Linked DNA regions of Danio rerio. The protein of the gene in region 3 purifies or fractionates together with the protein of the main gene of each other region. This does not show direct contact. Links are inferred from orthologs where the notes say so. Each region holds a gene or a part of one and is shown on either strand. Other genes may lie near its edges. The genes, in order: exoc6, exoc6b and exoc7.

The links.
Region 1: the proteins of exoc7 (region 3) and exoc6 purify together in Homo sapiens (affinity purification with mass spectrometry; 4 studies listed by BioGRID and IntAct, counting the BioPlex papers as one, with this or other methods). This does not show direct contact. The link is inferred for Danio rerio from reciprocal best matches to the Homo sapiens genes EXOC7 and EXOC6.
Region 2: the proteins of exoc7 (region 3) and exoc6b purify together in Homo sapiens (affinity purification with mass spectrometry; 3 studies listed by BioGRID and IntAct, with this or other methods). This does not show direct contact. The link is inferred for Danio rerio from reciprocal best matches to the Homo sapiens genes EXOC7 and EXOC6B.

Annotation. Positions count from the first base shown.
Region 1 is NC_133187.1:9,637,429-9,645,867, reverse strand, and holds the start of exoc6 (exocyst complex component 6), read left to right. Parts: upstream 1-2,902; 5' UTR 2,903-2,918; coding exon 2,919-3,049; intron 3,050-5,780; exon of another isoform or gene 5,781-5,784; coding exon of another isoform or gene 5,785-5,909; intron 5,910-8,439. UniProt on the Homo sapiens protein: Component of the exocyst complex involved in the docking of exocytic vesicles with fusion sites on the plasma membrane.
Region 2 is NC_133182.1:25,277,099-25,284,826, forward strand, and holds the end of exoc6b (exocyst complex component 6B), read left to right. Parts: intron 1-3,618; coding exon 3,619-3,745; 3' UTR 3,746-5,370; downstream 5,371-7,728. UniProt on the Homo sapiens protein: Component of the exocyst complex involved in the docking of exocytic vesicles with fusion sites on the plasma membrane.
Region 3 is NC_133187.1:48,855,203-48,863,756, forward strand, and holds the start of exoc7 (exocyst complex component 7), read left to right. Parts: upstream 1-4,313; 5' UTR 4,314-4,423; coding exon 4,424-4,483; intron 4,484-5,648; exon of another isoform or gene 5,649-5,700; coding exon 5,701-5,766; intron 5,767-6,906; coding exon 6,907-7,091; intron 7,092-8,554. UniProt on the Homo sapiens protein: Component of the exocyst complex involved in the docking of exocytic vesicles with fusion sites on the plasma membrane.

The DNA.
Region 1 (8,439 bases), about 39 Mb from region 3:
TATATTATTTCCCTTAAAATCTGAATCGTGTAATGCAGTTTCCACCAAAATATTAAAGGGCACCTATTTTACCCCTTTTACAAGATGTAGGATAAGTCTTTGTTGTCTCCAGAATGTGTCCGTAAAGCTTCAGCTCAAAACACCCATCATTATTATTATAGCCTCCAGAATCTGCCCATTTTGGTGTCTGAATACATTGTAAATGTTTTAGTATAGCCTGTGGCTTTAAATGCAAAATTGTTGCTTCTCCCAGCCCAGCATGCGTTATGTCAGGTAAACAGCACAGTGACAAAGGCAGACATGGATAAAGCTGAAATACAGCTCATTTGTCAAAAATACCAAGTATGTGTTTCATGTATCTGTGGTGTTTATTCAAGCCTTTCTGACATGATGAGTCTCAAACAAATGCTGTTTGCAGTACTCAAACACATATATTAGCGTTTACTGACACCATGTGGCTGTGGTGATTATAGTGGTTAAGAATTATATAGTGATTTTACTGTCTTTATTACAAACATGCTTTTGTTTTTTTGTGGGCAGGAAAAAACTAATCCTATGTCACGTTGTGTTGGGCCTCAAAATCACTGGGATTTGGGTCCTATTTTAACATCAGAAAATTTAAAAATAGAGACTTATTGGGTTTTTATCACTCCAATATGACTTTGAACACACTAAACCCACACACAGTTCTGTCCAAACAGCTTACAAAAGTTGATTTTCATCATACTGTAGGTGCCCTTTTAAGCAGCAAAAACGGTTTAAAACAAATATTAGAAATGATTCTTTATTAATGATTCATTCTTTATTCTTTAGGTTTATAATATTTGCTTAAGGATAGTATGACTGAAACAATCACATGAATAAATGACATTTTAAAATATATTATATTTTAAATATAATATATATATATATATATATATATATATATATATATATATATATATATATATATATATATATATTTCTGCTTTTACTGTATACTAAGGTTAGTTCACCCAAAAATGAACATTTCTTCATCATTTACTCCAACCCAGGCTCATTCTGAAAACGTAGTGCCGTGGATGTTTCTGGAGGCCGAGAAATACGTCCCGGGAGGTATGTATGGTTGCATTTCGTTTTTTTAAGCGAACGATATGGGGCGGTATGACGTTGTTCCCTTTCGCGCTTACCGGCTGAAAGCTTACCTCCGTGTGGAGGGCTTTCCCGCCGCAACCAGTTTGTTCAGTCAGCTCATCGTGTACGTCAGCAGATTTTCAGATGCAGAGAGGTGGAGTTGAGTTGACCATGGCGACCGGGTTCGAGTTCGGGAAAGAGCCATTCTAAAAATAAGGTAAGACAAAAAAAGAATCCAAAAAGTAAAGCGATTGACTTCGTAACAGGGTGAGAACATGGTGATATCCGAAAACTTGGTAAAAAAAAGCAGACAAGGGCTTTTATTTTTATTTTAAATTTTGTAAATTGTTGGTTGGGTTTAGGGAAGTAAGTGGGGGGCTGGTCAATAGGTAAAATTGGTTCGGTTTAGGGAAGGAGAAGGCCGGGTGGGTCAGCCGATTGGCCGGTCGCACAGTCAATCAATCAGACAGTCAGACAGCAGCCTCTGATGGGTTTACGCGCGAACGGCACTCGCGAGAGACATTTGAGATGCGAAAAAGCCTACACAGCGGCCTCTAGTGAATTCGCGAAAAAAAAAAAGAAAAAATATATTCCGCAGTCTCCAGAAACGTCCACGAGACTACGTTTTCAGAATAAGCTTGGGTTGATTTACTCACACTTCAATAGTTCTAAACTTTTATGAATTTCTTTGTTCTGTTGAACATGAAACAAGATATTCTGAAGAATGCTGAAAAAATATTCCAACCCAGGCTCATTCCAAAAACAAAGCCCCGCGGACGTTTCTGGAGACTGCGATTTACATGGCCGGAGGTACATATGGCCGCATTTCGTCGGCTCTGACGGCTCACCTCCGTGTGGAGGGCTTTCCCGCCACAACCAGTTTGTCCGCTTAGCTCGCAGTGTTACGTCGGCAGAGCGGAGGCCCGGAGAAGGAGGAGGAGCCGGCCGCAACGACGATGACCGGGATCGAGTCCGGGGAAGAGTGGTTGCAGAAATCAGGTAAGATGAAAAAAAGAATCCAAAAAATAAAAGCGAACAAGTTCGTGACGGGGCGAGAATGCAGCGAAACCCGAAAACGTAGTCAAAATTGGATGAGGGCTTTTGCTTTTTTTTATATATATATTTATTTCCGGACAGCTTTTGTAAATCGTCGCTTGGGACAGGTGGTCGCTCGACAGCGGCCTCCGGTGGCTTTTCGCGTGAGAACAGCGTTGGCGCATACGGCGCGCACTCCCGAGAGGTGTTCGAGACGCGAAAAAGCGCGCACTGCGGCCTCTTGCAGATTTGCGAAAAACAAAAACTGCACAAATATGTACCTCCCGGGACGTATTTCGCGGCTTCCAGGAACGTCCACGGGGCTACATTTCCACAATGAGCCTGGGTTGAATTATTCAACATGTCTTTTTTGTGTTCAACAGGAGAAAGAAGCTCAAACAGTTTCTCAAAAAGACCATTTTTATTTTTGTGGTGTACTATCTCTTCAAGATCAAGAGTAAATTAAGCTTTTATTTTATTATTATTCTAAACTTTTTAACAGTAAGCAAAAATATTTAGCATACTATACAATATATGCTTTTCTTGAGTGACTTTACTACCATAAAGCACAGATCCCAGTCCAGCGGTGTGATAAATCTCAAAGCACAATTTGCCAATATTTAACAGGACAGCACTTAAAGCCTGTTTTGTTGGATTCAAAGTACTAGAGATCACAAGATCTGTCGGTTTTCCTCAGCTGCAGTTTTCTGCTGACAGTAGTGTGTTCATGTCCTGCTGGAAACACAGTTCAAACCAGCACACAGACCATCATGTACGACAGCAGCAGCAGCCTCAAGATCCCCAGCAGTCCCCAAGAAGAGGACAAAGCTGAAGGAAAAGTCTATGGGAATGTTTTTGCAGAACTGGAATCAGTAGATCTGCCGCTGGGAACGAGTTTAAGGTAGAGTGACTGAAATAAAATAATGTTTTGTTGTGTTTAATATGTCCTTTTTTTAAGCAATGACATGTAATAATTATTTTTAATGTATTAAGTGTTATTACAGATAATGCAGGCATAGTGCAAAAATATTTGCTGAAACAACACAATTCTTGAGGTTTTTTTGGGGACAACTTAATTGTTTATGTTCAATCCACTTAAATTTTTAAATAAATAAATAAATAAGTTAACTTAATTCCTTCACGTTGCCCCAACACAAATCAGATGTGTGGAATCTAGCAGTTTTACAGTGTACACTCAATTCATTCATGTTGCTCCAACACAAATCATTTAAGTTAACTTAAAAAACTGAAGCGGATTGAACATAAAACAATTAAGTTGTCCACCCAAAATCTCAAGAATTGTGTTGTTTCAGCTCAATTTAAACGAGCAGTTTAAACAAGCAAAAAAAATATGTGTTTGTTTGTGTGTGATTTGGTTCCGTTATGACAATGTGCATTTTATTTATTGGATTCAGATGAAAATAAATAATAAATAATCTAATTATGCATAATTATGCTCCTAACTATCCTTCTAATTATGCTTCTCCATAATGATTCTAATATGCAGCTTGTGTGCTTGGTAACAGTTGTTGATGTTGAAATCTGATGTTTTTGCTGCTTATTATTTTTGTTGAAACTGAGTAAAACTACTATTTGAAAACAAAAAAGTTCCTTTGAGGAATAAATGTTCTATTTAGTAATATATCCGTTTATAAATAGATTGTAATTAGCATAAATTAAAATGATTCTTGAGCATCAAATCAGCATATCAGAAAACTAAAAATTCAGAGAGATTGATGAATGAATGGATGGATGGAGGGATAAAATTATGCACTGTATAAGTTTTCATGTTCACCCCGTGTTGGCATGGGTTTCCTCTGGGTGCTCCGTTTTCCAAAGACATGTGGTATACTGTAGGTGAATTGGGTATGATCAAATTTAACTTATGGGTGTATGAATAAGTGTGGGTGTGTATGGGTGTGAATAAGTGTGTATGGGTGTTTCCCAGTGATGGGTTGCAGCTAGAAGGGCATCCGCTGCGTAAAACATATGCTGGATAAGTTGCCGGTTCATTCTGCTGTGGCGACCCCTGATTAATAAAGGGACTAAGCCGAAAAGAAAATGAATAAATGAATAATATTTCACATTGTCATTTTACTTTATTTTACTACAAAATACTTCTCTGAAAAAACAAACTTCTAAAGATTCCAAATATTTGACTGGAAGTTTATGAAATACAAATATATATTAAATTACATATATTTATATATAAAGATATAATAGCGACACTGTCCCAATCTAAAAACACTGATGTGTCCACAAATCGACACAAAAAGTATTGACTATTTTCCAGAGATACCTAGATCAGTTAACCTTGAAACTATTTCGCTGACTAAATAATATAATGGTGGTACTGGCAAAATTAAAGGTGTATGACAAACAAATGGAAACAGAACTGTTAATTTACCCATTTTAAAGCAATCGAAGATAGGCATGGCCAGGTATAAGATTCTGACCATATAATAACTTTTAAAATATACTCTTTTTAAATGTCTGGGTAAAAAAACTAAGCTTTTTCCCCTTTCAAAACAATATATTTAAAAAAAAAAATTTTTTTTTGGAGCAGTAAACATGTCAGGCTAAATAATTCAAATGAATCATTGACTTCTGCTGTCTTTATTAGTTTCAAAAACACAGATTTATTTACAATTTAAATCAGCATCTTCGGATGTCTTTTCTGCTGGAGATAATGTGGACCTTTAAATGAAAAAAAAAAATCGTACACATACCTTAGAAACGGTATTACAGAAAATTTTGGCAGTTTTGAAAAAACCTTGATTTTTTTTCAAACCGCGGTATACCTTGATAACTTTGAGAGTACAAAAATAACAAAATACAGGCAAAACAAATTTAATACTCGTAGCTCCTTACAATACATTAAGGTATCATGCAAGTAAATGAATATTAATTATATTATTGCTGAGGCTGTGAGTTAAACTGAATAATGATATAAAATAATGCTCGATTTCTTAAACAGGCTAATCATTTTGCTGTAGTTGTATACAAGAGCCTTATTAATTTTACTTTGCCCGTTAATAGCCTATATTTTGACTGTAAAATACTAAAGGACCTTTTTATGAATCACAGAGGAGCACGGTTTTAACAAAAAAACTTTAATTTTTTTAAGTGAGTACATTAACACCAACTTTTTTGGTGAACTCTCTCTTTAAAGCAATTATTTTGACAAAAAAGACTGAAAATCAGTAACTATCGACTTTCATAGCATTTGTTTTTCTCTACAATGGGTCTTAATGATTACCTGTTTACAACATTAATCACAATATCTTCTTTTGTGTTCAACACAAGAAGAAAATATAAAGATATGAAACCATTTAAGGATGAGAAAATAGTGAATATACTATGTTAATTTAGACTTTGTTTGGTGAATTACCCCTTTAAGAAGAACATTTCAGTTCTTTAAATGTGTTGAGGTGAAATTTGTGCCATCTATATTCAAAGAAAGCATACTTGAACACGTGTATAAGTATAAACTTAGTATTTTAGCTCTGCTCAATCCGCATAGCACAAAATCTCCCAACTATTGACGTTCTATCGAGCTTTCAGTCTGACCTGCAAAGGCTCTGCTCCCTCTTCCGGCGGAGTCGTGTCACTGCATCTCTTTCGGCATTGTCACATATGAACACTGTGACGCTTAGAGCCAACATGGCGGAGAGCGAGAGCTTGGAGACTATCACCGAACATGAACGAATATTACAAGAGATCGAGAGCACGGACACTGCGTGTCTGGGGCCGACTTTACGGTGAGAGATGTGCATCGTCTGCTCTTATTTAACGTTCAGCTGGTGACGTGATGTTTCCCTCTGTCTGATGGATGGAAAGCAGGCCTTTGTTTGCTAAAGATGCAGCTCAGCAGGACTTTATGTCATTGCTGATGAATCTGTCGAATAAAGTGCTTATCTGTTGAACGTGAATGTTTGTACCCATGTTAATCCGTCATAATTATTTAAATGGACTCTGTATGCTCTGCTAATACTGTACACATACATTCAATGGCACAGGCTGCTGATCGCTGTTTTCCTGTCATTCGTGTGCGATTGACTGATGTTATAAGAGGATTATTTGTCGTAATTAGCCATTCATTTGTCTGTTTTCCTGGTTGATGTTGTGATGTAATAGCTAATATAAGATGTAAACATCTGACTTGAAGCATCTGAGGCCCAGTGACGGCATCACTGCATTATGGATATGACTGAGCTGTCGACAGGTGGAAAGCTCGCAGATAAACATAGCGTCATTTCTTTACATTTAGACCGAATTTTTAGGTTAAACACGGCAGTATTCACTTCATTTCCCTTTGCAAACAAATTTCAGCTATGGTAGAGCTGACGAAATGTCGTGGGTGTGGCGTTAGCAAATGAGTCTGGAGCTGGGAAATTAATATTCTGCCCCGAGCTTCACTGTATCTGTGACTGGATGTGATGATTTCAGCACTTGCTGGCATGCCATCATATGAATTTTGTCCATTATGCCTATTCACTACTAAGGGGATAGTTCACACAAAAATAAATATGCTGTCGTCATTTACTCTCCCTTCACTTGTTTCAAACCTTTATGAGTTTCTTTCGTCTGTTGAACATAAAGGAAGATATTTTGAAGAAAGCTGAAAACCTCTAACCACTGACATCCATAGTATTTGTTTTCCTGCTATGGATGTCAATGGTTACAGGCTTTCAGCGCACTTCAAAATATCTTATTTTGTGTTCAACAGAAGAAAGAAACACATAAAGGTTTATAACCACTTGAGGGTAAGTAAATGACTCTATTTTTATTTTCCGGTGAAATATCCTCTTAAAAAATATAGGTTTGGCGTTGACATTAAGGGTTTCATGAACCTTAAACATAAATGAATCCAAAACATAGGAAATCTGAAACATTAGTCTTGTGTAATAACAATGAAATGACCCAAAGAGAGAAAGTACTGAACTACTAATATTGTGTATTTTATATTAGATTCAGGTCAGGGGATTGGCTTGGCCATTCTACAGCTTGATTTCCTTTCTCTGAAAGCATTTCAGAGTTTCCTTGGCTGTGTTTTGGATCATTGTCTTGCTGAAATGTCCACTCTGGTTTCACCATCATCATCCCGTAATGTAAATATTGGACTGAAGCAGCTAATGTTCATTTACATTGACGAAGGGCAGAGGGTTGCTGAAGAACTACTAAGAGATTTCAGCTGCTGTCTGGGCTTTCACTGCCTTTCTACACCATCCTTCCTACATGTGTTCAATACTTTTTCCTTGCGCCATTTCATTTTGTTTTGCATAACTTGATTTGTGAACTAATTCGATTTGTTTTCTTTGCATGTTTAGATTTCTTTGGTTGTTAAAATATTGAAAATTTCAAGTCATGGCACCTTTAGAAATGTAATAAATATAGAAATATAATTTGCACTCTAAAAATATTGTTTAGACAAAACAAAAACAAAAAATTAACACAACAGTTTGCATTAATATATTCAAGTTGCGACAACATCTAACAAAATGAGGTTCAGAAAACAAACTTTATTATGTTAGCCAAATCTTTTGCTCTTCAATCAGAGGCAATTTTAAATCGCAAAAAGCTAACTTTTTTAAGTCAAGTACTCAAAAAAATAAGTTGTTTCAATTAGCAATTATTGAAAACAAATCCAGTGTTATGTACTTGTTTACATGCATGCTTTCAGGCTTAGAATCTCAAATGAATTAAGTAGCTGAAATTGTTTAATTTTTTGCTGGTTTTTAAATTTACTGTTCATGCTTGTAAGAAATACATTTAACAAAAACATTTTTGTTTTCTGGGAATTTTTTATTTGTATCAAACAACAGGTTTTCATTGTTTTACAAAACAATGTACTCATGTACTTTTCCATATTATCAGTATAAAAATAACAAAAAAACATCAGTGTGTGGACGTAAAAAAATTAACTTCATTAGTGTGGAAAAATTGAGTTATCAACCTAATTTCTTTGGGTTGCTACAAGTTAAATGTTGTTTTAAAGTAACTGACAGATATATTTACCTTTAAATTAGCCACATTTTTTAATTAATGTAATTATCAATATTTTCCTGTTTTGAAAACTTAATAAAATTATTCTGGCAACTTAAAAGTTTTAATCTTATCAGCATTTTAGAATTTTTAAGTTACAATAATGTATTTACATTTAAATTTACATTTAGTCATTTAGCAGATGCTTTTATCCAAAAAGGGCCTTATAAATGAGGACAAGGAAGCAATTTACACAACTAAAAAAGCAACAATGAATAAGTGCAGTAGGCAAGTTTCAGGTATGTA
Region 2 (7,728 bases), on a different chromosome or scaffold from region 3:
TCAGTATACAGTATATAGTGCTTTGAAGAGGCACTTTGTTATGATAAGACTGTAATTAGATAAGAAGCAAAGTTGTGAATTTGGTATGCTTAAAGTACAAGTATTGGCACTGACATTTATTTATTTATTCATTCATTCATTCATTCATTCATTTATTCATTTTTTTGTCGGCTTAGTCCCCTTATTAATATGAGGTCGCCACAGTGGAATGAACCGCCAACTTATCCAGCATGTTTTCACGCAGCGGATGTCCATCCAGCTTCAACCCATCTCTGGGAAACATTCACACACACACTCATACACTACGGACAATTTAGTCTACCCAATTCACCTCTACCGCATGTCTTTAAACTGTGGAGGAAACCGGAGCACCTGGAGGTAACCCACGCGAACGCAGGGAGAACATGCAAACTCCCCACAGAAACGCCAACTGAGTCGAGGCTCGAACCAGCAACCCAGCAACCTTCTTGCTTTGAGGCGACAGCACTACCTACTGTGCCACTGCGTCACCCTGGCACTGACATTTAATTTTTTTTAAAGACTCTTGTGAAAAGTTGACTTTTTTTTATTTAGAATGAAGACGTTACATAGACTGATAATTGTTTGTTTTGTTTTATTTTAAGGACTCTAAGTTCTCTTCAAAAACCTATTTGTGTTACACACAAACATTACACACAGGTTTGCTTACATCAAGAATAAACATGACTTGTGCCGAGCACAGTTTGTTTTCTTCAGTGAATTATCGGCAACCAAGAGCATCAAACCATCAAAATTCAAGAGACATTTAAAACCCCATAAAGACTAGTGTGTCAAGCTAATAATTTTAGTTCACAATAAACAATTTTCACTAAAGTCCAATGTAAAATCCTTGCTTAAAGCAAAACTGTGTCTCTGTCTGACTCCATTTCAAAACTCTTGTTTGGTGAACTCCAGAAGGAGGTCACAAATTTTCATGCTCAACATTGTAGGCATTGCGCACTATGAGGAGGTGTTTCTTATCACCACCATAGTCACAGGTGACTCTAAGATAAAGCTGTGATGCGTACCAGTATGGCAATACAGTCATGCGTATGTGTCATGGCTATCTTGCCTAATTACTTTTAATAAATAAGATTGACAGAGTTTGTTTATTAAGTTGAATTAGTGAGTGGTGATTAAAATGCTTCGCTAACAGACTCACTTTTTTATTTTTGTAAACAGAGTTACTGTATTCGAAAGGCCCTTATTCTAAACCTAGTAGTTTTTTATGGATTCTATGAAATCTGTGAATGTTATTAAAATGGTTTGTTGCAACAAAGTTTAGGTTCACCATTTTCTAGATTTTTCCCTACTATTAGTCATCCTAAAATCAGAATTAGCAACTCTTCTATTTTTGGCTATGATGCAAATTTCCAAGAGGCGTCAACCCAAAAATATTGTTTTTAAGTACTAAATTAGCACATCCTAATGACTTCTGAAGGATAATGTGAATAGACAGTTCAGCGGTTCACTCTCATTTACCCTCACTCATCTCATTAAATTTCATCAACTATTTTCCCTAATATACTGCCCTTACATTTTCAAGCTGAGGATGATAGACTATACACATCAAAAGAATGTTTTTTTTCAATGCCTGAATGATGATGCGTCACTTTGGTATTTTGTCAGCCTGGTGCTGAGAGCAGTGCCACGGTTTGGCTGGTTGTGAATGTGAGGAATGTGTATGCATTGGCTGGGTGATCCCCAGGCTACTGGGAATGAGAGTTTGGCACAGATGGCAGGAAAGTGAGCAGGCTCATTAGAACCTCTTTGCAGGATAGCTTCAAGGTTCCTGCACTAAAGCACCCTATGAGTGTGTGCCTTAACCACACAGTCTGTGCCCTTCCTTTAGTTCTTTAGTTGTGCAACACGCTTTAACTGGCATGGCATGATTTCTTATGTTACTTTCAGGTTGTATTAATTATAATAATTTAATAATTCCTTGCATTTATGTAGCGCTTTTTTTGGACACTTAAATAGCTTTACACGGCTTTTGAGGGGAATCTACTCGACCACTACCAGTGTGCAGCATCCACCTGGTTGATGCAATGGCAGCCATATTGTGCCAGACTGCACAGCTGATTGGTGGAGAGGAGACAAAGTGATGAAGCCAATTACGATATGGAGATAGTCAAGAGGCCAGTGGGCGAATTTGGCCAGGATGCTGGGGTTAAACCCCTACTCTTTTTGGAAGGACATCCTGGGATTTTTAATGACCTCAGAGATTCAGGACCTCAGTTTAAAGTCTCATTCAAAAGACGACGATCACTGAGCAGTAAAGAGTCCCCATCAATATACTGGGACGTTAGGACCCACACAGAGTACAGGCCTCGCCACTTACACCACTTTTTGCAAGAAACCTAGCTTTCTCATGTGGTCTCCCAACCAGGTACTGACTGGGCGCAGCCCTGCTTGGCTTCAGGTGGTGACCATGTGAGAGTTGCAGAGAGCTAGCTGTCAACTAAATTATGCATTTTGTTGGATTGGGCTGTAGTGAACCCATGCTACTTTTTTGTTCTCTATTTGTTCTAGTCAAAGTTCAGAGTTTTTATGCATACTCTATGAAACAACTGTTCAAACAATATATTTTTAAATGAATTGCTTTTGGTTGCTTTTGGTTGATCTCTGATTATCGACAGGTTATTGTCCTGCAGTTGTGTCAGTAACGCATCTTCAGAAAAGAGATGTAGTTACAAGAGAAATGTATTTTAGTTAAATGTTCTGAAACAAATTGGATATCAGCACAGGCTGCTTACATGTACAGCCCGATTTTAATTAATTGATTTTTTTTTTTTTTTAGATTTAAAAAATTACTTATTTTACTAATTATTCGTCTACAGGGTAACAACACATTATTTGGGGGGGGGGGGGGGGGGTGTTGATAGAAAGAAAAATAAACATAAACCATTTGATTAATGAGTGCTTTTGTGGGTGAATTAAAGGTCCTATGAAATTAAAATAAAATGTTGTAAGATGTAAGTTTTAGTCTGTTAGTTTTAAGGACATCTATATGTTGGTGTGCTCCAAAACTGTGACAAAAATCACATTTAGAACATTTAAAACCGATATAAACATGTAAATCTTGCAGTTTGTCATTTCTGTCTAAATAAATCAACAATTTTTTCCACCTATCCTCAAACTTCAGTTTCTCATCAAATCCTGACCAATCAAATACTCTCTAGTATCTGACATGCCCCGCCCCCTTCAAGACCCTTCACATTTGCTTTTCATTTGATGCACAAGATCTCAATCACTCTCACTGGCAGAGCTGTGAGAAAAAACAATGCCATTGGCTGATTTGGTAAAAGGGGACGAGCTACTCTGTCCCACCTTCTCTTCATTTTTTCAGCTGGCATTATGACAACATCGAGTAAAAAAATGCACATTTCAAAGATCTTCAAGGGTCCTTTAAAGATTCATACAACTATCGTTTAAACAAATACAAAGACATTTTATCATAAATAAACTTTAGAGAAAGCACAGCCATTGGGCAAGAATCTTTCTAGAGTCCATCCAGTTTTTTTTTAACCATATTTGACCATTGAGTTGTATCTGTCTGTTTTTATTATCTAATGTTCTCATATGCTTCATTGTGTGCAGGATGAAGGACACCAGCCGCAAGAACAACATGTTTGCCCAGTTCCGTAAAAACGAACGGGACAAGCAGAAGCTCATAGACACCGTTGTCAAACAGCTGAGAAATCTCATTGCCTCCAACCAAGCCTGAGAAAGCCAATGCTTCAGCGAATGACCCCACGTCACGATGAGCGTGTGGACTGCTCTGGCACATCTCTAGTAGCTGGACGTATTATTCTTTTCACACAGACATTTGCACTAACATGCGCATATAGATGCACCTCTATGAAAGGTGCGTCTGCTAAACCATCCCGTGCCTGTGTGATGCGGTGTCCATGTCTTCCTGCGGGACTGTCTCAACACATTAAGGACACCAAATCACATTTTGCTCTTTGGTTGTGTTTTATTATTTGTGTATTAAGCGTCTTACAACAGAACCGTTTTTCCATCACACTAATTTGCTGTCATACGTTGAACTGCCTTTATATGTAGTTCTTAAGTATTATTTATCCCCTTTTTTCAATTTTCAGCTACAGTTACACTATAATGTGAATATTAAATTGCAGAAAATTGGAACACTAACTAGGCTTGAATATTGCTGTTGTGATGTCTTACAGATCAAATTTAAAAGGATCGTTCAACCACATATGAAAGTTCTGTCATGATTTATTCATCGTTTCTTTCCTCTGTGGAACACAAATGTGTTTTGAGAAATGCGTCTAAGTGCTTCTAAGCATTTCATTTTGTGTTCTTCAGAAGAAGGTTGAACAAGAATAAATATCTTCAATATCTTTGAGAATAGGAAATAATATTGTCATTTGAGGGGTCAAGGGTTCATCTGAGTGCTAATCATAATGAGGGACGTTTGATGGAGTTCTTAATACAAGGAGTCCAGTTACTGCCCTTGTTAAATCTTTCATTTGTAGTAATTGTATACTAGACATTCAGTACTTCAGCTTTTGTCTGTTACAGCCAAGATGTAGATTATACTGTAGCTTAATACCTTTTGACCTAAGAAGATTAGTTCGCAGTCAAAAACATGTTTTTGATTGTACTTCCAATATGCAGTATATGGACGCACTGTATGTCTCTTGTAGTCAGATATATCACCCAGCATTCATTGCAAGAACTGAGTGAAGATGTGTAAAGTGGAGGAACTTGATGAAATGATGCAGGGTAATAGCACAATTATACAGTCACATTGTACATTAAAACTAATATAAAATGCTTTTAGTATTTAAACCATGTTGTCTTCCCTTAACGGTAATATTTCTACTGATAGGATTGCGGGTGCAATATTACATGCCATTTTTCCTTTTCAAATTCAAAGAGTTTTAGGTAGCAAAGATTGTTTGTTTGTTTGTTTGTTTAAAGGGAGTTTTTTTCTTTTCATTTTACTTTGTGTATTGAAGCCTGTCGCTTACAATGGATGCAAACTATAAAGGGAATTCTTCATGTTTAGAGACGGAACAAGCACAGTGTCAAATTATTTCAGGCTGTTTTCTTGGTTCAGCTCTTCCTGTTTGTGCCTTGACTTTTTTTCCATGCCAATAACTGATTTCCGCACAGCACCTGGATGTATAAGCAAGGTATGGACGTGTGTTGGTGTGTGTGAGTGTGCATGAGGACATTCAGCCTTAGCGGACCACTCTGGTTGTAGAGAGCAGAACTGACTCCAGAGAAATGCACTGTACAGATTGTTATTTTAAACCACTTATGAATATTACAATACTAATAAATTTAGCACATGCCAGCAAATGCGTTATACATCAAAAACGTGTGCTGTACTTTTATTTTGCATCCCATTTTTAATGTGGCACAAAGAAATGGATTGAGAACGGGGCCAAAACATGAAAATACACAAATGCCTTGTTTTTATTTGACATGTTTTGTTAGTTTTGTAATTGGTTTGATTCATTTTTTGGAACACATTACAATAAGGTTTAATTCTTTATCACTGGTCATCTTCTCAAGGTGAGCTGAAAGATTTTGACCTACAGTACTTCATATGCTATTGATGCTAACTGATACTGATGCACTTACCCTTCAAGACCACGGAAGATTTTTTGGCACCAAGACATCTACAGATAATTTAAGTCAGGTAGGTTGCATCAATCCTGTGTGATATAATTATAAACCCACAGATGCCTAATTAGATTCATCTTTGTCAAAGCATTTCTGATCTGTAAGTGCATGTGTGGCAGTTCATTATCCTGCAGAAAGAGGCCTTATCCACCAGGGAATGTCACTGTCATGAAGGGCTATACTTTGTCTCCAACAGTGGTTTGTCCACATGAATGGCTGGTGCCAGGATTATCTGGCAAAACATTGTCCATAGAGTCATGCTTCCTCCAACTGCTTGTCATCAGCCACAGTGCATCACTTCCTCAGGTAAACAGCACACAGCCATCCAGATGATGTCAAATTAAACTGGATTTATTGGACCAGATAACCTTCTTCCACTGTGCTTATATCCAGTTCTGATGCTTGTGTTCTTGTAGGCAATTTTGAAGGATTGCAGTTGTCTTAGAAATTCTGCTGAACAGGATCAAACCTAACATGTGACCTAACATCAAGTAATGTTATTGAAGATTTAAAAAAAAAAAAAAAAAAAAAAAAAATATATATATATATATATATATATATATATATATATATATATATATATATATATATATATATATATATATATATATATATAATATATGTATATATTTCTCAGTGGTAAGTCATTTTAGTTAACACATTAATTAATGGTAACAAATGAGACCTTAAACATGCAGTCAAAGACAGGATTATTTGCCCTCCAGTGAAATTTGTATTATTTTTCAAATATTTCTAAAGTTCTGTCTAATTGAGATTTTTTTTTACACATTTTAAACAAGAGTTTTAATAACTTATTTCTAATAGCTCATTTCTTTTGTCTTTGCCATGTGCATAAATTTTGTAAGGTACTAGTACTAAGCTTAAAGACTAACCTAAGTTAATTAGGTAATTAACATGTTAAAGGCTGATTTATAGTTCAGCGTTGAGTGATCGGTGTGACCCACGGCTCCTGCCTTGCACGTAGTTGTGCCTTTATACTTCTGCGTGATGTTTGTGTTGCTCTGCAATAACACTTTCAAAACGCTAGCTGGCGTTAGGTTTTTATGTTCCTCTGTGTTGAGTTTCTTCACGGGTGTTGTTTATTTCTGAATGCTACAAGTATCTAACACGCACTTATTCTGAGGCAGGAACCGGAGGACGTGCAACAACTTTAATCTTGAGGTGAACACAAAACAAAGCTTCCATCTGGAGCTCGTTCACGGGACTCAACACTTAAATAATAGCTCTATTGGGCTCGTGGCTCTGAGCACCGCCCACACTTGTCACCGCTACCAAACCTACCTGGGCTTTGCGACCGTGCAAAGACTGCTCCGGACCATGTGCGCTTGACGCAGAAGTATAAATAAGCCATAACAGTGGTTTGTTCAGAAAATAAACGAGAAAAAAAATCTTAAGGGGGCTAATAGTAGATTTTAAATTTGTATTTTTTTTTTCAGGCAAATTAAAATCATAATAATTTCTTATATATAGGAAAATTTAGTAGGTAATACTGTGAAAACTCTCCTTGCTCAGTTAAGCATCAGGAAATAGTAAAATCATCAGGAAATATTTGAAAAATTATTCAAATTTCACTGGAGGGCTAATGATTTTGCCTTTACATGTATATTGCACTCAAAAAAAGTTTTTGCTTGATGCTTGTTCAAACTACTTACTTAAAATGAGTCAACACAATTCCTGATTTCTCTAAGAGCAATATGACTGTTTTAAGTTCAGTTCATTTACATTTGTTAAACCAATTAAGTTAACATATTCATTTGTGGTGACACAACATGAAGGAATCATTGAACCCAGCATTTTTTCACTGTGGTTTCTGTTTTAGGATTTTTTGTTCATTAAAAAGTACAGCCTAAATTTTCAAAAGCTGCACTTTTCTCCCCAAAGGCGCCATATTGATATTTTTAAGATATGGATTAGTTCTTAAAAGTACAAGTGTGTTCCTCTTGTAAAGGTACCACCCCAGTCTACCTTTATTTTTGTGAGTGTAGTATATACACATGAAGTAGGAATGTAAAATAAAGATGTGGAAAA
Region 3 (8,554 bases):
TTTTTTTTTTTTTTTTTTCTCGATGATCCAGAAATTATGAATATTAAAAAACACACACAAGTCCAAGCACTTAAAGTAAGTGAAAAATGTTTAAAGCCTTTATTAACATGGCTATTCTATAAAACTGCACATACGCATTTCGGCACACCTTCCTTCATCAAGGTAAAAAAGTTCAGGTGCGTCTGGAAGTTATTTGTACATTATGATCACATGACTCAATTGAATATTTAAACACAAAGTCAACTTAACAGTCATTATTAATTCAGTAAAGGAAGAAAAGTTCAATACGTTAAATGTGTATAGGAAATCACAGAAAATATGCATATGTAATTAAATACATGCATATACATACACACACATAAACACTTTTGGTTTGAATTTGGATTTTTAAAAAAACTGTCAAGCAGCTTATTTCTGTTTAAAATAATCCTTTAAGCAAACTAAATATGTGACTTAATTTGTAATTAGTCTTTTTTTTTTTTTGCATTGTGTAATTTTGCATCCTCTCTGTATTGATGTGCTTGTGTTCAGGCCAGCGGGAATCAGTCTTCAGCATCTCGGAGCTCAAACTCAGAGTCTCGTATCTTCTGGCTGGGTCTGGTCATCTGTCCCATCATCTGGGTCATCTTTGCTTTCTCTACACTCATCTCCTTCAAGATTAAATGGCTGGTAAGTAATTTTTTTATTGCAAACTCCATCGTTTTTAAAGTTTCAGTCCCTCCCAATTCACATATTAATTAATTATTATGTTAATTCACCTCAAGAGTTTTACCAGCAGTAATTATGGCTTCAGATACTTGCAAACTGGTGTTTATGATTCATGCTTTTAAAGATGAATCCTGACCAATCATATACAAAATAAACGTTATTTTTTATGAAATGTGCATGTGTACTGTATATTTATTTTTATATATAAATGCTTCAAATTTAACAGCATTATTTATGATCATTCCGATAGCATGTGTGAAGGCAGCAGAACTATAAATTAGGGCTGCACAACATCATTTCAGCGCTGATGTCGCAATGTGGAGTCTGGATTATAGATGAGCCACAAAACACAGGATTTTAACAGTCACTGCAAAGTTTAACCATGATAGAGTGAAGGTTTATTATTTACATGTGTTTATGTCCTGTGACTGTATGAGCATTTTAAAAGAGTTTAAAACATTTGGGCACAGAGATTCGACTTTTGGAGGTGTAAGATTAATTGTATTTAATTATTTAAAAAAGGAAGACTATATAGTGTTGTTTTACATTTACAAAAAACGCTTTTCTTACAATATTTCTTTTTTTTTGTATTTTCACTTGTCCAAATATCTACATTTTTACCCTATAACAAGATTATTTTGCTTGTTTAAGAAAAATCCTAGTTAATTTTGACTTATTATTTCTGAAAGTTAAAATAAAATTATATCTTTAGATATTTGGACTAGAAACGCTGAGTAACTTGCATTGTGATAATTCAATTTCTGTGCCTGAATACTGATAGATCCCTCAGAAGAACGTCAAATGGAGCTATTCAGACCATCTATTGAAACCATTTAATTGATATATATATATATATATATATATATATATATATATATATATATATATATATATATATATATATATATATATATATATATATATATATATATACAGTTGAAGTACTAGCTGGGCTTCCAGCTAACTCTATCAAGCCTCTTCAACTGCTCCAGAATGCAGCAGCACGAGTGGTCTTCAATGAACCTAAACGAGCACATGTCACTCCGCTGCTAGTCCGTTTGCACTGGCTGCCAGTTGCTGCTCGCATCAAATTCAAAACTCTGATGTTTGCCTACAAAGCGACTTCTGGCTTTGCTCCTTCTTATCTGCTCTCGCTTCTGCAGATCTATGTGCCCGCCAGAAACTTGCCTTCTGTGAAAGAACGTCGCCTCGTGGTTCCATCCCAAAGGGGGAAGAAATCACTTTCGCGAACGCTCACGCTCAATCTGCCCAGTTGGTGGAATGAACTCCCTAACTGCATCAGAACAGCAGAGTCACTCGCTACTTTCAAGAAACGACTAAAAACTCAACTATTTAGTCTCCACTACACTTCCTAATCTGTAATTGCCTCTTTGAATATCACACTAACTGTACCAAAAAAAAAAAAAAAAAAAAAAATACTAATACTACTTATACTTCCCTTCTTAGACTTTACAGACCTGAAACTTACCTACAGCACTTATTCATTGTTGCTCTTGGTTGTGTAAATTGCTTCCTTGTCCTCATTTGTAAGTCGCTTTGGATAAAAGCGTCTGCTAAATGACTAAATGTAAATGTAAAATGAAGTCACAATTATTCGCCCCACTTTTTATATTTTCCCCCAATTTCTGTTTGACGAGGAGATTATTTTTCCAACACATTTCTAATCATAATAGTTTTAATAACTCATTTCTAATAACTGATTTATTTTATCTTTGCCATGATGACAGTAAATAATATTAGACTAGATATTCTTCAAGACACTTCTAAACAGCTTAAAGTGACATTTAAAGGCTTAACTAGGTTAATTAGGTTAACTAGGCAAGTTAGGGTAATTAGGCAAGTTATTGTATAACAGTGGTTTGATCTGTGGAGACTATCAAAAAAATATATAGCTTAAAGGGTCTTATAATATTGTCCTTAAAATGGTGTTTAAAAAATTAATAACTGCTTTTATTCTAGCTGTCTAAAATACAGTATTGCAATATCAGATTTTTCCAATATCGTGCAGCCCTACTATAAATAAATACAATTTATATCTGATTGTGTATGAACTCATGTGGTCTTGAATATGTGAGTGTCTGTGAGTAACGTTGCTTTCTCTTTCAGGCGGTGGTGATTTTGGGTGTGGTGTTACAGGGAGCTAATCTGTACGGATATGTGCGCTGTAAAGTAGGAGCCCGAACAAACCTGAAGAACATGGCAACAAATTACTTCGGAAGGCAGTTTCTGAAACAGGTCTGTGACTTATTATTACAAGTCATCTTAAATATCTTCTTCAAATCATCCTAGTTTAATGAAAAAGTACGTGACGTTGTTTATGTTTATTGCAGGCTTTCACAAAACAAGAGGAGTCTTAAAAAGGAGCAGACCTTGAGAAATCACTCATCAGTGAACTTTTATTATGTTATTTTATAAAACAGACTGATATTAAGTGAGCTAAAAGGGTCACTTGGCTGAATTGTGGTTTTTTTTTTCCTTGTAGTGTAACAATCACAACCTGTTAACTAATTCTTTAACATTTATAGATATCTTTAACTTTATATTATGTTTTTTTTTAAATAATGAACTTAACAGAGTGTTTTGTTACTTAACGTTGCATGACACCATGCATTACGCTTCTGTTTTGTTGACAGATGTACATATTTATATACTGCTGTAAATTATTTTTGGAGGAAGGGGAGATTGTGTGCTTTATGAAAGTTTATGATTGTGTCATATTGAGTGAATGAAAAAATAAAGAGAGTGTCCTGACATTTTATCCTACTTGTCAGAATATGCTACCAACACTGTGTTTGAATGGTTCTGAGATTGGGGTTAGGGATTAGGTAGGTTAGGGTGATATTACAGCTTCATATGACACTGCTCCACATTAACATTTACACTTATAGCAAAATCTGATGGGTTGCATACTACCTACTTTTTGAATGGGAGGTAGGACAATCTGACAGCAGGAGCCTCCCTAAATCTCTGACCAGACAGTGAAGGTGAAGCAACTATCACACCATCAGGTTTTTTCATCAAAATAAGAGTCCCATGGATTTTGAAAGCACTCGTGATTAAAGCGTTGCTTGGTGCATGGTTAAAGGTGTATGCGTTCATGTGTTTTGATTTAGTGTATGTCTTTATTCAACTTTATTTTGTATATAATTTTGTTTGGTAAGGATATTATAAAAATTAAGATCTTATGAATACATATATTTAGTAGTCGTTAACTAAATATATCCCTAACAACTTCAGTCTCGAAGATTTTGAGAAACTTGAATTGATAATAAATTGTTATAATCGTAAAAAAATATGCATTTATAATATGTAATTTTACTGTGTATGTTACTACAATTTGGTAATATGTATAATATAAGTATATACAGTTGCGTTATAAATACTGTATATAAATTGAATATCACTATGTTTCTTGTCATTTTAGTAGTTATAAATTCCTGCCGCACTTCATTTAAGTACACTTTTTACCTTTTTGTCGTCATATATGTATTTCTTTTTAATAGTGAATATTGTTTTGCTTCTGTTTCATTTGATACACTTGGTTCAGAAAGGACTTTTATTTTGTACTTCACTGGCTTCCGTTTGTGTCGTGTTGTTTATCGCTGTCTTCGGGTTAATGTTGTAATATTATTGTGTATTTTACATTGGTCCGGACGGTCCAGTTGTATTTTCCATCGTGTTTCTGACCATCAGGATGATCCCAACCGAAGACGCGTCCGCCAGAAAGCGGGAGATTGAGGAGAAACTCAAACAGGTCTGTTAAACAGAGGAAAAACGGGAAGAATGAAGCATAACATGAGAATCCCGTGATCTGACAGTGTTATTTATGTCATTTGCGATTTAACTAGCGTCATATCTGCTTGTTTGCCTGTCACAAAGATTATTGAAAGCTGAATAATAGAGATAAAATAAGCTGTTGGGGCGTACAAAATGTGTTATTAAGCAAGACACTGCAGGTGAAAAGAGTAGGGAAATCAACACCCAGCTGATTGATAACATTAAGAGTTGCAAACATTTTTCGATTACAAGTTTTTTTGTGTCATATAAATGAGTAATTAATTAAATAATGACGTAATTTGCATACATCTCAAGCATACAAAATGTAAACAGTAATTTTGTACAAACATAAAAGCTTGTTCTTAAAAAATTGTTTTGAAAAGGAATTTTTTTGGTGGGACAGGTACTAAATTCCCAAGGTTACTTAATGAATTTTTATCACATTTTAATTTTCCTGTGTCCTAAATAGAATTTGCAATGGTCTTTGCTGCTATTCCCCTATGTATTGTTTCACTCTGTGAAGGTTACTCATATTCAGGAAATATCTCTGTTACACCCTAAAGATACACTATGTGGGAAAATTTGTTTTTCTTCTCACCAAAATAAGGCCATACGTTCATTATTTCATTCACTCATAAATAGTAAACCCTAGATAATTTCTCATTGGTCTGCGTTCATCAGAGATTTAAATTGGAAAAAATTATGGTCGTTGCCTAACAAATTATTTATTACAAACAAATTTAAAGAGGTCTCATTTAAAATTCTGAATATATTTTACCCTGTCAAACATTTTCTTTCAATGTTTAGACATAATATAGATCAAAACTGTTCAGTTTGTTTATCACAGCCAGAAACTGTGCCGCAGATGTTTTGGAATTGCCAGTTATCGAAGAAAATAGGGTACGAGATAAATGACCAATTTCATAAATGACAAATTATTGACAAATTTCCGTTTAGAATAGCAACATATTATATTTGGGTTTTTGAACTACAACAAAAAAAAAATAGAGAAGAAAACTTATGTTAATAATTTCTTGATAATATTTAGAAAGTACCATATTCACAGATGCAAATTTCATAACCAAAAACCATTTTATCCTGCTATATGAATTTAACTAAAACACTATACAAACAACATAAAGCACTAATAAAAAACACATGTCTTGACCTGTTCATTGTATCTATCATCTACAGGAGCAAGAAACGCTTTCTTTTATCCGTGAAAGCCTGGAGAAGAGTGATCAGCTCACTAAAGGAATGGTGAGAGATTTATATTTATATGAGTGATATCACACTCATAGCAGTGTGATATGGCTGTATATTGGCACTGGTAGGAGGCGTGTGTTGGCTCAAGGCCGCAGACAGAGTATCTTAATGTCACATGATATACAGCCATACCACACTGCTATGAGTGTGATATTGCATTTATACAACAGTTCAACCGCATAATTGTGTATATAACAAAAGAGAATTCGACATGGAGAGTTTCAAAAATCCTTTTGTATGAGGAACTACTTTCTTCCGCCGTTTATTCACATCTGCAGCTGACGTCAGAACAGTAGAAACCGCTGCTCATTCACCAACGTCACTTTAGAGCTAGTGTTTGAGTGATTCTCTTGCGTAATGTCTAAAGTGATGACAAAACAGCTGATTTTGCACACATTTTAAGATTATAAAGCTGAACGGCATGAAATGCCATCAGTCTACAAAGATATCTCCCAGTATTTCTCTATTGCAATTGGGAGATCACTGTAATTAACCCCGAAAAAACCAAAGCAAAGCAAACACTACCAGATTACTATGGTATAAATAGAGCAATACAACAAACAAAAGAGAGATTGACTTAGAAAGTCACTTGGCTGTTCTGTAAAGATTTGTTTAGCTTTAGTTTGAAATATATGCTAACACCTAAGGGCTAATTATTAGGTCTATTTATTAGGGTAAAAGGAACGTCAACCGTCTTTGCTCTGCTCAGTATGACAGGCTGATGACTGCCAACGTGTTGAATCTGCATGCTCTTAAATTCAAAATATTTAAATAGGCACTATCCTTATAAATAAACTGCATAGTTGCAATCACAACAACTACATTCTCGCCTAAAAAGGCTCAAAAGTACATTATGTTGTCCAACAGCTGCAGTATTTGTCAAACTGTTGTCCTCCTTGCCACTCGTGCCACTACTCAGCCAATCAGATTGAAGAACCAGAAAGAACTGTTGTATAAATGTGAATAACACTAGTGTGTCATTCTGGTTCGATCATGTAAAGTCAGTGCTCAGCAGTGTTGTACAGTGATATTTGTTTTACAAGTAGCTTTTTTCCTAATATATCCATTGTAAGTATTATTTTGTGGTTGGTATTTGTGAATGAAATGGTGAACGTGTGTTTTAATTTGTTTAAGGTGTCCATCCTGTCGTCATTTGAGAGTCGTCTGATGCAGCTGGAAAACTCCATCATCCCGGTTCACAAGCAGACGGAGAATCTGCAGCGGCTGCAGGAGAATGTGGATAAAACACTGTCCAACATGGATCACGTCATCAGCTACTATCACGTGGCCAAAGACACTGACAAGATCATCCGGGAAGGGTTAGTGATCACCTATTCAATGGTTTATTATTATTATTATTATTCATTCATTTTCTTTTCGGCTTAGTCCCTTTATTAATCGGGGTCGCCACAGCGGAATGAACCGCCAATTTGTCCACGCATGTTTTATCCATGTTTTACGCAGCGGATGCCCTTCAGCTGCAACCCATGTCTGCGAAACATCCATACACACTCATTCACACTCGTACACTACAGACAATTTAGCCTACCCAATTCACCTGTTTTAGACTGTGGGGGAAACCGGAGCACGCGAAGGAAACCCACGCGAAGGCAGGGAGTACATGCAAACTCCACACAGAAATGCCAACTGACCCACCCGAAGCTCGAACCAGCGACCTTCTTGCTGTGAGGCGACAGCACTACCTACTGCATCACTGATTATTATTATTATTATTAAAAGTTTTAATTTCACTTTTTGCTTGATTCTGATTGGCTGATGAACATTCTACAGCAGGGGTCACCAATCTCGCTCCTGGAGGGCCGGTGTCCCTGCAGGGTTTAGCTCCAACTTGCCTCAACACACCTGCCTGGATGATTCAAGTATACCTAGTAAGACCTTGATTAGCTTGTTCAGGTGTGTTTGATTAGGGTTGGTGCTAAAATCTGCACAGTGTACAGACAAACGCACAGCTAAAGCAGTTCCGGCAGGTTTTGGGTTCATTACAGCTGCATTTGACCACACCAAATGATTTTAGTTATTTCACAGCTACAACAGTCAAAAATCACATCACAGCACAACAGAAGGCTTTAGAGGAGATGTGGAAGAAACTAATCCTACACACAGGAGCAGTTTGAGGTCAAAAACCTGACCGATTTGTAAAATATAACATCTTAACAGTGGCTTTAGCTGTGGAAACCAGAGTATATGCGGAATAATTGACACCAGTGCGTTGAATTATTAGAAAAATTGAACCACTTTAAATTTTGACTGCAATTTATTACAGATAAAGTACATGCAGGAGGTTATTATCACAGATTAAACCCCAACATATTTACCGGCAGCCAGACTCAAAGCAGAACACTGTTGAATAAGACTAAAAGGCTTCATTCTATGAAAAACAAACCATCCTCGATGTTCTTTTATCCCGCTTATTACATGGCTACTAACCACAAATCATTAAAATTACATGCAAAACATTATTTGTAGCTGTAATATTCTATTTGTTTTTTAATTAAACACACGTTTTTAAATTAAACACAAAGCTGACAGAAGCAAAAGCAGCTAAATGGAATATACACTAACCTGTGCATTATTCAGCCACTAGATGGCATTAAACAGTCAAAAATGCAACGCTGACAGAAACCAAAGCAGTTGAATGGACTATACCAGGGGTCGGCAACCCGCGGCTCTTTAGCGCTGCCCTTGTGGCTCCCTGGAGCTTTTTCAAAAATGTTTGAAAATGCAAAAAGATGGGGGAGGTTAATATATTTTTTGTTTTAAT